Linked DNA regions of Coturnix japonica. The main gene of each other region encodes a partner of the protein of the gene in region 2 in a complex. Links are inferred from orthologs where the notes say so. Each region holds a gene or a part of one and is shown on either strand. Other genes may lie near its edges.

The links. The genes of interacting proteins can lie anywhere in the genome.
Region 1: NME5 (region 2) and DYDC1 share a complex: the UniProt entries of both Homo sapiens proteins name them as parts of the axonemal radial spoke complex. The link is inferred for Coturnix japonica from reciprocal best matches to the Homo sapiens genes NME5 and DYDC1.
Region 3: NME5 (region 2) and ROPN1L share a complex: the UniProt entries of both Homo sapiens proteins name them as parts of the axonemal radial spoke complex. The link is inferred for Coturnix japonica from reciprocal best matches to the Homo sapiens genes NME5 and ROPN1L.

Annotation. Positions count from the first base shown.
Region 1 is NC_029521.1:3,511,334-3,515,301, forward strand, and holds the start of DYDC1 (DPY30 domain-containing protein 1), read left to right. Parts: upstream 1-1,168; 5' UTR 1,169-1,250; exon of another isoform or gene 1,251-1,298; intron 1,299-1,465; exon of another isoform or gene 1,466-1,468; 5' UTR 1,469-1,474; coding exon 1,475-1,621; intron 1,622-1,733; coding exon 1,734-1,856; intron 1,857-2,397; coding exon 2,398-2,469; intron 2,470-3,282; coding exon 3,283-3,573; 3' UTR 3,574-3,968. Other genes in the region: EXOSC3 (exosome complex component RRP40), read right to left, coding at 627-776, 850-1,125. UniProt on the Homo sapiens protein: Functions as part of axonemal radial spoke complexes that play an important part in the motility of sperm and cilia. Plays a crucial role during acrosome biogenesis.
Region 2 is NC_029528.1:3,795,528-3,799,471, forward strand, and holds the start of NME5 (nucleoside diphosphate kinase homolog 5), read right to left. Parts: upstream 2,801-3,944; 5' UTR 1,326-2,800; coding exon 1,197-1,325; intron 30-1,196; coding exon 1-29. UniProt on the Homo sapiens protein: Functions as part of axonemal radial spoke complexes that play an important part in the motility of sperm and cilia. Does not seem to have nucleoside diphosphate kinase (NDPK) activity.
Region 3 is NC_029517.1:52,308,345-52,312,293, reverse strand, and holds the start of ROPN1L (ropporin-1-like protein), read right to left. Parts: upstream 2,801-3,949; 5' UTR 2,670-2,800; intron 2,664-2,669; exon of another isoform or gene 2,484-2,663; intron 2,397-2,483; 5' UTR 2,370-2,396; coding exon 2,239-2,369; intron 1,194-2,238; coding exon 1,070-1,193; intron 905-1,069; coding exon 743-904; intron 1-742. UniProt on the Homo sapiens protein: Functions as part of axonemal radial spoke complexes that play an important part in the motility of sperm and cilia. Important for male fertility.

The DNA of each region.
Region 1 (3,968 bases), on a different chromosome or scaffold from region 2:
GCCGGAGCGCCTCTTGTGTGAAGAAAAGTTGAGAGAGTTAGGCTTGTTGAGCCTGGAAAAGGCTCTGGATAGACCCCATCGAAGCCTTCCAGTGCTTATAGGGAGTGACTTTTTATATAGCCTAGTAGTGACAGGACAAGGGGGAATGGCTTTGAATTAACAGAGGGGAGATAAAGGTTACATGTTAGGAAACAATTCTTTACTCAGAAGGCGCACCAGAAGCCATACCAGTCTATTCCATTTAAAATCACAGCCCATTTTACACCATGCTGACAGTGTTTCTGGTGAACGCACATATCACAAAACAACTTGTAAATGCTACAAAGCAAACCCTCCTCTACCAGCACCAGCGTTCAGAGGATGCTTTAAAGCCTCAGGGTGGCCCCTTGGGACCCACGTTACTGCACGAGTAGCACCTGCCACTGTTAACCGATGGGAAAGGTGTAAGGTCAGAAGTGAAGAAGCACAAAAAGCTCCGGAGAAAACAGAAAAAACTCACGGCCTCATCGGGACACCCCGTACAGGCCATGACAAAAGCTCTGTGAAAAAAGTCACGTTCCTCGTTTATATGGTCCGAGTGGTAAAAACACCGTTTACAAAGGCAAGCTCCCGGCGGGCAGCGTTACCTGCACGTTGGGCCTGTTCCTCTTGGTCGCGCCCTCGAAGGCCAGGTATGACAGCGAGGCCTGCTCGCTACCACCGACGTCCAGCCGGAACACGTCCCCCACCTTGCCCGTCACGATGCCGATAACGTGGTCTCCCTTCACCGGCACGTACTACAAGCGGGTACAAGCGATCAGCGGGCTCGTCCCGCACATCACCGCCCCCCGCCGCCCGCTGCCGCCGTACCCGCTTCTGCTGCGAGTCCACCCAGTAGGCGCCGCCCGCCGCCGCTCCGCCGCCCGCCTGCCGGTGCCGCAGCAGCCCGCACTTGGTGACCAGCAGCCCGCCCGCACAGCGCCGCAGCCCCGGCCCGCACAGCAGCCTCCCCCGCGGGGCCGCGCTGGTGCCCAGCGGCAGCTTGTCGAGGTCGGGCTCTCCGTGCTCGGGCAGCAGCAGCACATCGCCGGGCAGCACCACTTGTCCCACACGGGTCTCCGCCGGCACGCCGCCCCCACCCGCCATCGCGTGCGGCCCTTCCGGCGGAAGCAGACGCAAAATGGCGGCGGCGATGGAAGGGCCGAGAGCGCAACGACAGCGACACCGCCCGGCCGCCTGACGCAGGATCCAGCCGGGAGCGCGGTTGCCCGGTAACGCGGTTGGACGCGCTGTGCGATCGGGCCGGTAGGAGCGAAGCGGTAGGGAACGGGGGACAGCACCGCTACCACCTTCTCATATTAATTGCCTGATGAAATGAGCTTTGATAAAACCACCAACATCACACTGGGGATGTGATGCAGTCAACACTTCCTCTAACTGCTGTCTGAATTCCGATATCGGTGACTAATATCTGTCGGTTTGTCAGTAGGTGAGAATGGAGTCTCAATACCTGAGGAGATGTCTGGGAAGCTGCTTGAAAAAGGGTCTGGCGGAGGTTGTGGAGCGTCGGCCCGCTGACCCAATAGAGTACCTGGCACACTGGATCTACAACTACAAGAAAACACTAGAAGAAGAAAAGAAGGTGGGTCTACCTCGGGCAAAGCATTTCATGTCAATCTAACTGATGCTGTATAATCTCTCTTTGTGTTTTGTTTCCTTTTTTTTTCATTGATTTCTTGTTACCTCTGAAATAGAGAACGTTGGAAAGGGCCAAACTGGAAAAAGAACGGCAGGCAGCCCTGGAAGAACTTGAAATGTTAAGAAAAATGAAGGAAGAAGAGCTACTGATACAACAGAAACTTGAAGAACAACGGCAGGTTAATAGTTGTTCATAATTATAGTAGCGTGTGATGCTGGGTCAACTTGTAGCTCTCACTACAATAGTAGTCATTATCAACATAGAATCATAAGAGAATCAGAATGTTGGAAAGTACCTACAATTGTATTCTGATCTTGAAAGGGAAAAGATAACAAAAAGTGCTTAAACATTGCGTTTTGAAAATATCATTATTTCGAAAGGAATTAGAAAGGACAGCTGAGCAGCTGGGGAGAAAAACTTACCTGCTACATGACAAGATGTTACCAAAAATGAAGAGACTAAGCTAAAGAGAAACTAACTAAAGATATGTTAGAAAATTAGATTAGGATAAGTAGACTGTCTTCTGCAGTTAACTATCTTAGCTATTTTTTCCTCCCATAGAATCTATATGGATTAGTCTGTCTATAATAGATGCTGTGCAAAGCTTCAAAGAGCCTAATCCAAAGTATAGGAGATATAAATATTAACTACTAAAGAGCACGAGGAACTGAGTATCAAAAGCATATACGCTATCTTCAGCTGTCTTCTCTTTACAATAGGAACAAGAACGTGAGAAGATGGAACAGCAGAATAAAGAAGAGAACATGCAGGAGCAGCAGAAAGATCCAGAGGTTTAAGCCAAAGCTTAGTCAAGATAAAGAAATATTGTTAATCATCTCTCTTATTCAGATCCAGTCCCTAAATACAGAACACAAGGCAGAAGCCTTGAACACAACAAAACAGAAAGCTAACATTAGGGAAGAACGTTTAATGCTTCTTTCCAGCTTAGGTTTTAGACTTGAATTCTCATCTGTTCTATTGGGTTTCTTTAGCTTTTATTCAGAACAGAGCATAAAGTTATTATAAAATGTAGCTTAAGTTCAGATTTTTTTTTAATTAATAAAATACTAGAACTTGAACGTGTCTAACATGAATGCTTAGATAGTTACATTTTACTGCCTGGCAACGTGAAGCCCATTTGCCACACCTGGAAAAGGAACCAACACTTGGAGGTGGGATGCCTCTTGATTTTTTGGTCTTCCATATAAATACATAGTCATATGATGCTGTTTTGGTAAAACAGATTGATCATTGACACTTAGACGTGAAACATTTCCTAACTTTACTTGGAGCAGAATAGAGATATTTTTAGAGCACTGTGTTGAGATATTGATAGCACATAGCTAGAAGAATGACTGTAAATGTAACAGAAGTATGCACGTTTATAAACTGAAGCAAAAAAGAACCCTGAAACCTTTGTAAAAACAGTCTTTACATGCACAAAGACCCCATTTGCACACTAACACATTTGTGTAGCAAGCATCTGAAGTATTGTCTTTACATTCATACTTAAACTACATTTTCAAAGCATGTTCAAAGTATCCACTGTAGACGATTGCTCATGACACGGAATACTTCTAATTGAAAATGAATTTCCACTACAGGAAGATGAGAAGACAATAGCTGAACTTACAGATAGAGCAGGAGCACCTAATTTGCCCACAGTTGAGGAAGTAGATGAGAGTGGAGTGTCTGAGGTAAGTGTTTGGAAAGAAAAAGGTTACATGGAATTAATGCTCAAACATTTTCTTGCTGACAAATGGAAGACTAAGACTGTTCTAGTTAACCCTATACCGGTTCTTTACTACAATCTGAAGGGATATTATTTGGGCCACAGTCTTCATGCTGTCCTTAGGCTGTACATTCTGAAAGGCTGCTTATGTGGTGCTGAGTGAATAAAGTGCCAAAGATTTAAAATGCCCCTTTATAGTCATGTGTGTTATGAATGGATGTATTAATATTCTCAGACAAGAAGCAGCCTTCCTTCGCCTTTTGAGCAGGTGTCAAACAGGACACAGACTCAATCACAAACACTGTCTTGCTTCTGAATGAAATGACTTACATTATTCTGATTGGTCTGAAGTACATTGTTCATGCAGCAGAACGCAGAGATATCTGAACAATTATTTAATGTAAAAGACCAGGTACCAAGCGCACAGTGCTCAGTGCAGCAAAGACCTGCTAAGAATCAGGTTATCCAAACCCTGTGCCAGCATGACAGTACTTATTCCAAAACTACAACTATCAATCTAAATTGTGATATGCAGCCATCTTCTACACCCCTATTTTT
Region 2 (3,944 bases):
TGCTCTGGGCTCAGCTGGAGCTTCCGTTTCTAAGAAAAGCGTAAAAGAGAAGAGAAAGAAAAAAGTTTACTAAATAGAGCTGGTTTGCTACCTCAGGTACCACACTGTTCTTTGGAGGCAGTCACATTTTCAAGTGCAAGCTGAAGAGGTACAGGGTAACTTCCCAGCTTAGTCTGATTCTCTCAGATTTGGTCCCCCTTGAGATACAAAGCAACAACAACAACAGAAACAACAAACAATGAAAAGAAAACAAAACAAAGAAGCAACCAACCAAGAGGTTTCTGTGTTATAATTAATACCCGCAGCATTAATTATACAATTGTTCTTTCTTTCATTCGGTGCTTTAGGATTTTCACTATAGCTATCCTGCCTGCAGGTAGCCAGAATTAGGCCAGGTGTAACAGGTTATCCAGCAGAGGGCACAGGGCAGCCTGGAGAGAAATTAACTTATTAAAAACTCCTTTCTTTGAGCCTGCTCTAATGTGATACAGAGTGCTGAGCATTCAGATTCCTATCAGCCTCAATGTCAAAAGTTAATGACTGTAAAGCTCTTCTCATTAAGAAAGAAAACAAAACACACACACGCACACACACAACTCTAATCTTCTGATGAATTTCCTATACTTAAAACAAACAGAAATGTAGAGGAAGAAATTAAAAAAGAACAAGTTCTTTTCAAACTCTTTTCAAACTTTTCAAGGCATTTACGAAAGATGACAGTTTTAGGGAAGCATATACATGTAATACTTGTATCTAGAAGCCTGGTTGCTGCTCAGCCAGTGCCCTCAAAGTTCGGTGCCGAAGGTGCTGCCTCCACACTACTAGGAGGGGGAGGAGGAGGAAGAGAAGAAAGCAAACACGATGAGGACGACAGCGGCACCCAGCGACCAACCCAACCCCACGGGGGGACATGGAAGAAGGCTTTTTGTTTTTGAGTTCATTTGTTAATGAACCCAGTTCATGAAGGAAGTATGGGGTTTCTTCTGTCAGCGAAGTCTGGTGGGTTCTCTTCCATGTCACACACCAACGAAATGTATCCTCGAGGAATCTGGGAGTTGTGGTTGATGACGTGAAAAATATAAACCGATTTTTGGGCAACAGAAGCTTTTAATTATTGAACTGACTGCTGAAAGTTAAGAAGACCATTGACGTGACCCACCAACTGCAGCTGTTATCTCAGGAACGCAGCTTTTTACCTGAACAATCAGGAATCCGGATCTGAGGATGAGATCCTCTATCTCTTCCTCCTTATCTACAACATCAGGTTTGATGAGAGCCAGTGTTTTTTCCACAAAAATCTGAGGTTCTGGCATGAGCCTCTCCATCTTTCTGCATTAGAACTTCTTAGCCCTACAACGACAGCAGTTGATGACAACGTTTATCTCCGAATAGTGTAAGTAACGTGGGATGGTTTCCTGAGACACGGTTCTCCCTGGGTTTTGGCCTCCGTGCCCGTGAGTCTCTGAAGACACGCAAACACACACGGAAAGCTCCCGGTCACCAACGGCTCCTCCGTGCCCGCCCCGTTGCCAGGTGCCGGCAGGGCAATGCGGGCAGCTGCCATTGGCCACAAGATGGCGGCCGTGCCCTGGCAGCGGGCGGCTGCGTGCGTGTGCGGGGGTGGAGCAGAAATGGCGGCCGGGAGCGGCGCTGCCTGAGCGGGGGGAGGCCGCACCCTCGGCAACCGCGCTTTCCGGATCTCATTTGCCTCTTTCCTGAGCTCTAGGTGTGATAAGAGCGTAAGGAAAGGAGTAAAATAGCTTGTTTTGGGGATCTGATGCGTTGTTAATCCTGTGACACAGCTTTCTGTCGGTTTTACTCCACGCTGAAAGCAATATCTCACAGCTGACGCTCATGAACAGAGGTTACGCTGTAGAACCGGTGTTTTGGAACAGAAACAAACTTTTCATTGCCAAAGCCCCCTGCAGGTTCTTTAAATCTCGCCGTGTGGCGGCAGCACGCACGGCACCTCCTGTTTATTTCCCGTCGGACCCGCAGCTCACAACAGAGCGGGCGCTGACCTCAATTCCCAACTCTAGAACACAGTTTCTCAGCACTTTGGATTGAAAGGCATTTTGTCCCCGGTGTTACCCGGTTTTAACACAGAAACAAGCAGCCCGCCGCCCCGCTGAGGCCTGCCAGCTGCTATCGGCTCAGCACAGCCCGGTGGCTGCGATAACGCCAGCACCAGCCCATGGACTCCTCACATTCAGGCCTCTTCCACTGCTGTGTGTTTGCCAGCAGTGATGGGATCCCGGGTGACATCTGTTTGTCACATCCAGCTGGAATTAATGTTCCATTTGAGCCCTTGGGGTGAGATGGACCAAGAGACAAGCACTCATGTCGGCTTCTTAAACAGAGAGAGCTCAACCAGCAGTCGGAGATACTGTAAATGCAGCAACTGCTCACAGATAAGGGAAAGACGTGTTTTGTGAGAAATAAATTCCTAGAAAGATCTGGGAGTTCATCTATTTTTCCTTTTAGTTCAGGGTTAATTCTCTTTGCAAACCAAACGCCTACAAGGCTGACAGGCTGACCCCAGGCTTAGCAGCTCAAAAGCCTCCCTCAGCCCCAGTGAATATTTCCGATTATTACTTAAAAAACGTTGAATTTAATATCCTCACAGAATACTGCTGACTTTAATCTCTCGCAGTTCCTTTAGCTGGGTGCATTTTGCTCTCAGTTAAAAAAGATAGGAAAAAAAAAATGCATCAATATCTGTCCGTGCATCCTTGTCTGCTGCAGCCTCCCCATGAGCAGTGTCCCGTGCACTCCCCATCCTTCTGTGTCACAATTTCTCCTCCTTGCTGTTTCCAGAAGCATTTCTGGAGGGTGGAGATCATCTAATTTTAGCAACTCAGAGAATCCTCTGCTCTCCAATGAGCGAGCTGCTGCATCTGAAGCTGCAGCCAATTACCCGGGGTTTCCTCCTGCTACACTTCCCACGACCGTTTAATAATGCAGAGTTGCACATTTAAAGGGACCCCGCGCATTAAGAGAAAATAACATCGTGTGTTCCCTAACAAAGAAGTAGCTTTACACGCTAAGAGTATCTCAAAGGTTTCTTCTAAATCCTTAAATTCCATAGACCCGACCTTTTAACCCCGTGTTGATACTGTTATTGTACGCATGGTATCTTTGTAGCGCTTTTAAAGCTACTTTAATGACTAAAAGGCTGGTTTGAAGCGTCCTCTCTAACTTCTGTAGCCCAGGGATGTTATTAAGAGCTAAGAAAAGAAACAAACAAAACCTGAAATTTTAATTACAATGCAACAAACCATTTTAAGTCCCGAATACTTCTCCGGGCACAGCTCTGCTGCTGTATCTGACCTGTTAAGCAGTTTAACAAGCCTTGGTTGTCTTATTTTGGGCTGGCATGGAATATAATAACACTATAATAACAAGATTGTGGCTGCAGATGCATTCTAGTAGCAAAGAAATGATGTTCTTAAGGAAAAGATACTGTTTTCAAACTTTGAACTCCAAAAAAATAGTAGTAATCATTGACTGGCTATTCATTTGCCACACAAACAACTTCTGTCCACCACTGACATCATTTTTATTTGCTTCTGTCTCCTACGATGAAGGCTGGGATACCCACACGCAGAACGTGCTGCAGCCGTGCTTGCTTTTGCAGTGCAAAGTGTCTTTGACGGAAATCCTGTGACCAAGCAAACTTCCGCTCCTGTGAGCCCGTTCCCTGCTCCATTTCTTACAGCTAACGACTCTGCTGCAGCTTGCCTACACGCCTGTAATCCGAGCTAACTTTATATTGCTTCTGACTAACACAATTCAAGCCTTCATTTCTGCTTTCATGTATTTGCTACCTCACTACTTTCTTTAAAGATCTTATTTCTACAAGGCTCTAAGTAATAACAAACTTCCTATCTACAGCATGCTCTGCTGACCTTCTTCTATTTTATTTCCTGATCCTCATGCCCACT
Region 3 (3,949 bases), on a different chromosome or scaffold from region 2:
GAATCACAGAATTGTAGGGGTTGGAAGGGACCTCTAGAGACCATCGAGTCCAACCCCTCTGCCAAAGCAGGCTCCCTACACCACATCGCACAGGCAGGTGTCCAGTTGGGTCTTGAATATCTCCAGAGAAGGAGACTCCACTGCTTTTCAATAACACAACATTCTCAAAACACTACTGGGCATTTGTTTTCTTCTTAGTACCCCTTCTGCAGTCTTCTAATTTCATACTTCACAAGAACATCAGCTTAGTGCGAGCATTTCATAACAATTCATTTGCAGCGCTCTGCTGAGACTTTATTACTGACATTAGAAGAATTAAATGTAGATTTAGTAACATTAACTGCTTCTGTGAAAATGTAATTGGCTGCACAATTAGAAACTGATGTTTTAATTTCTCCCTCCAGCTCTTCTCTTTTGTCTATTACACTGATGCCATAAGCATTGTTCCTCTATTGCCTTGGTTGAGCTGCCAGTGGACATGCCTACTGTCCTACTGCCACATCCCAGTAAGCATGAGGATAAGCCCTTACTGCTTAAGCTCTCCTTCCAAAACAACCTGTAATCATCATACATTATCATTAGTGGCCAGCCAGGAAGGTTCCTGCTGTGAATGTTAGGCCGGAGGAGGCTAGGAGCACCTAATCTAGCTGTAGGTGCTCCTGTTCATTACAAGGAAGTTGGAGTAAATGAACTTCAAAGGTTCCTTCCAACTCACAACAGTTCTATGATTCTGTGGACATACCTCACCAAGCACGCTGCACCCGAGTGCCAGAATCTTCATCCACTCCACCTCTTCATCAAAGGTGTCCAACTCCAGGATAGCTTCCAGCTGCTCCTCTGGCAGGCACAAGTCTTTCCATTTTTCCTTCAGCTCTGCAACACTTACAGTGCCTTTAGCGGAAAGCTGTAAATACAATTACAGTGCCGCAATAAGAACTCTGAAAAAGAATGAAACTAAGAAAAACAACCCTTCCCAAAACGCATCAAATTTTTGACAGTCATCTACTAATCATCTGGCATGTTTTCTGTCTAAGACAAACACACACATTTGATAAATGTCTGGTTGTACCTGTTTGTGCAAGACTTTAAGGAGTCCCGGGGTCAAACCAGCATCCATCTTCTGTTTTGCTGAAGGTGTTTCAAGTCTCTCCTTCACTGGAAGGGGCTCGCCTTTGGACAGTGCTGTAAAGTACCTGAGTGAATGGGAACAGCAAGGCACTCCAGTACCTAGGATGATTAAACACTATGCCTTTCTTTTCAGTGGAAGACAGTTTCTAGACATCACATACTCCTTTTTATCATACTGTCATAATTTATGAGTAGTTTAACTTATTTTGATTAAGGCAGAAATAAATTTATTAACACCAAGAGTATGCTCGCACAACTGAAGCACAGTCTTTTCCCATTAGATTGATGAGTACCTTTCCAATTTATTTAGCTGATTTATTTAGCGTTCCTCCCACATGCTACCTGTGAAGCCCAACTGGCAATATACTGCAATGCTCACATAACCATTTTGTCTACAGGTCTACACACTCCAAAATAAAATTCAAGGACAGTGTAGAAAGAGAATTCACAGAATCACAGCATTGTAGGGGTTGGAAGGGACCTCCAGAGATCATTGAGTCCAACCCCCCTGCCAAAGCAGGTTCCCTACACCACGTCACACAGGTAGGCATCCAGGCGGGTCTTGAATATCTCCAGAGAAGGAGACTCCACCACCTCCCTGGGCAGCCTGTTCCAGTGCTCCATCACCCTCACCGTAAAGAAGTTCTTGTGCACATTTGTGCGCAACTTCCTATGCTGTAGTTTCATCCCATTACCCCTAGTCCTGTCCCCACGCACTACTGAAAAGAGACCAGACTCACCACTATGGCTCCCACACCTCAGGTATTTATAAACCTGGATCAAATCCCCTCTCAGCCTTCTTTTCTCAAGGCTAAACAGACCCAGTTCCCTAAGTCTCTCCTCATAGGGGAGATGCTCCAGGCCCTTCACCATCTTAGCGGCCCTCCGCTGGACTCCTTCCAAGAGATCCCTGTCTTCTTTGTACTGAAAAACTCGATATGAAATCTTTAAACTAAAAGGCTAAACCAAGTACTATACTACTATTAAAAGGCCAACAGGTTGTGTTATACACTGAAGAATGCAACACTGCTCTATACAGTCAACAGAAGCATTGGGTCTTTGTGGTTCTGTGCTGACAGTGCTACATGGTTATGAGGATGCCATACTTACGCAGCTGACCACTGCAAAACATCATGAGGCTGAGTCCTAATAGCAGCTTTGGTGAACTGTTTGATAATGTCTGGTAGCTCAGGGGGGATTTGGATCTGCTGAGCACAGAACAGGGTGTCTGGAAGAGGCATGGTCTTCTCAAGTTCAGTTACGTGGACCTGAAGGGATTAACAATAAAACAGATGTAGGATGACAACAAAAAACTGCCCGCACAATGTTTACACCCAAACTGCCCCCTTTCTTACTGAGCCTACCAGAGTACCTTAATCTTGATACCAAGCAAAAGCCTGCAGATGGAGCCCAACCACAGCTCTAAGCCCAGACTACTTCTGCTGTCAGCAGCTGCCTTTTGCTAAGTCTTGATCTTCCTCAAGATTAATGCAGCCGCCGCACCACCCCTAGCTCGAGGAAGCCGCTCAGCCCCGCCTCACCTTTGTTTGCGCCGCCGCTGCCCCGGCAACGAGCGCACCGTGACAGCTGAGGGGGCGGGCGGATGGGACGGCGGTTTGCGGCCCGCCTCGCTCAACCGCGGGTGCAGAGCCCGTGTTTAACCCGTGTTTAGCCTCGTTTGTGAGGAGGCCGAAAGCCACATCCAGCCTGGCCTTGAATGCCTGCAGGGATGGGGCACCCACAGCCCCCTTGGGCATCCTGTTCCAGTGCGTCACCATCCTCTGTGTGAAAAACTCCCTTCTAAAATCTAACCTAAACCATGCCCCTTTGGCACTGGCCACCAGTCAGGCATGAGGTATCAGAGGAAAAGAGCTCTCACTTACCTTGTAAAAGCTCATCTCCTTGTCTGTTTTTGAAGACAGTTTCTGTTCTTTATTTAAACTTTACTATAAGAATTCAGTTCGCTGTTTTATGTCTTTATTATTTCATCATTTCTTCTGGGAATCCCAGCCATTGCTCAGACCATACAGCACCTATACATCACAGTATCACAGTCTCACAGTCTCGTGCGGGTTGGAAGGGACCTTAGAGATCATCGAGTCCAACCCCCAACATAAGGCAAACCTAACAAGAACACGGGCTTGGTCACAGGAAACTTACAGTAGAGGTACAAACAAATGGACAGACAGTGAAGTAGAAGAAAAAGCCGTGTTGATCAGCCTGCTAGGCAGCAAGATCAACAAACCACTGCCATCTGTGTTGTGCAGGAAAGGGCTTTTCACTGAATTCTCTGAAGAATAACAGGGCTGCTGTGAACACTTTTATGAGGACCTTTGCTCAAGCATAGGGAAGGGAGAGCAAGGGAGGAATGCGCCCTACTGAGAAATGATGCAAAGTGCTGCAATCGGGGCTGGAGTTTGCATCCTACTGAGAAAGCAGCTGGCAAAATAGTTACAGGCACCAGAGGGCCCTCAGAACATAAACAAATTACTTAGGCTTTACCCAGTGGAGAAGGGGTAGTCAGAGAAAACATGTGAAGTTTTAACTATTTTTAATCAATATAAAAATATTCTGTGTAAAAACAGTCAAAGCCATGCTGCAGTTAAGTAGGCAAAAGATAGCTACAAAGCCATCTGACAGCTCGTGGATAAAGGCCTGTAGAACTAACACCAGCAGACGCTCAGTACCCACAGAGCCAGTGCAGCTAAGCTGGTAGACAACTCCAATCCCTCCCCCTTCACTACTTAAGATCAACAGAGACTGTAATGAAGTCACACACAGCTTCTCCCACTCAAAGAGTAATGCAAAACCACTGCACGCT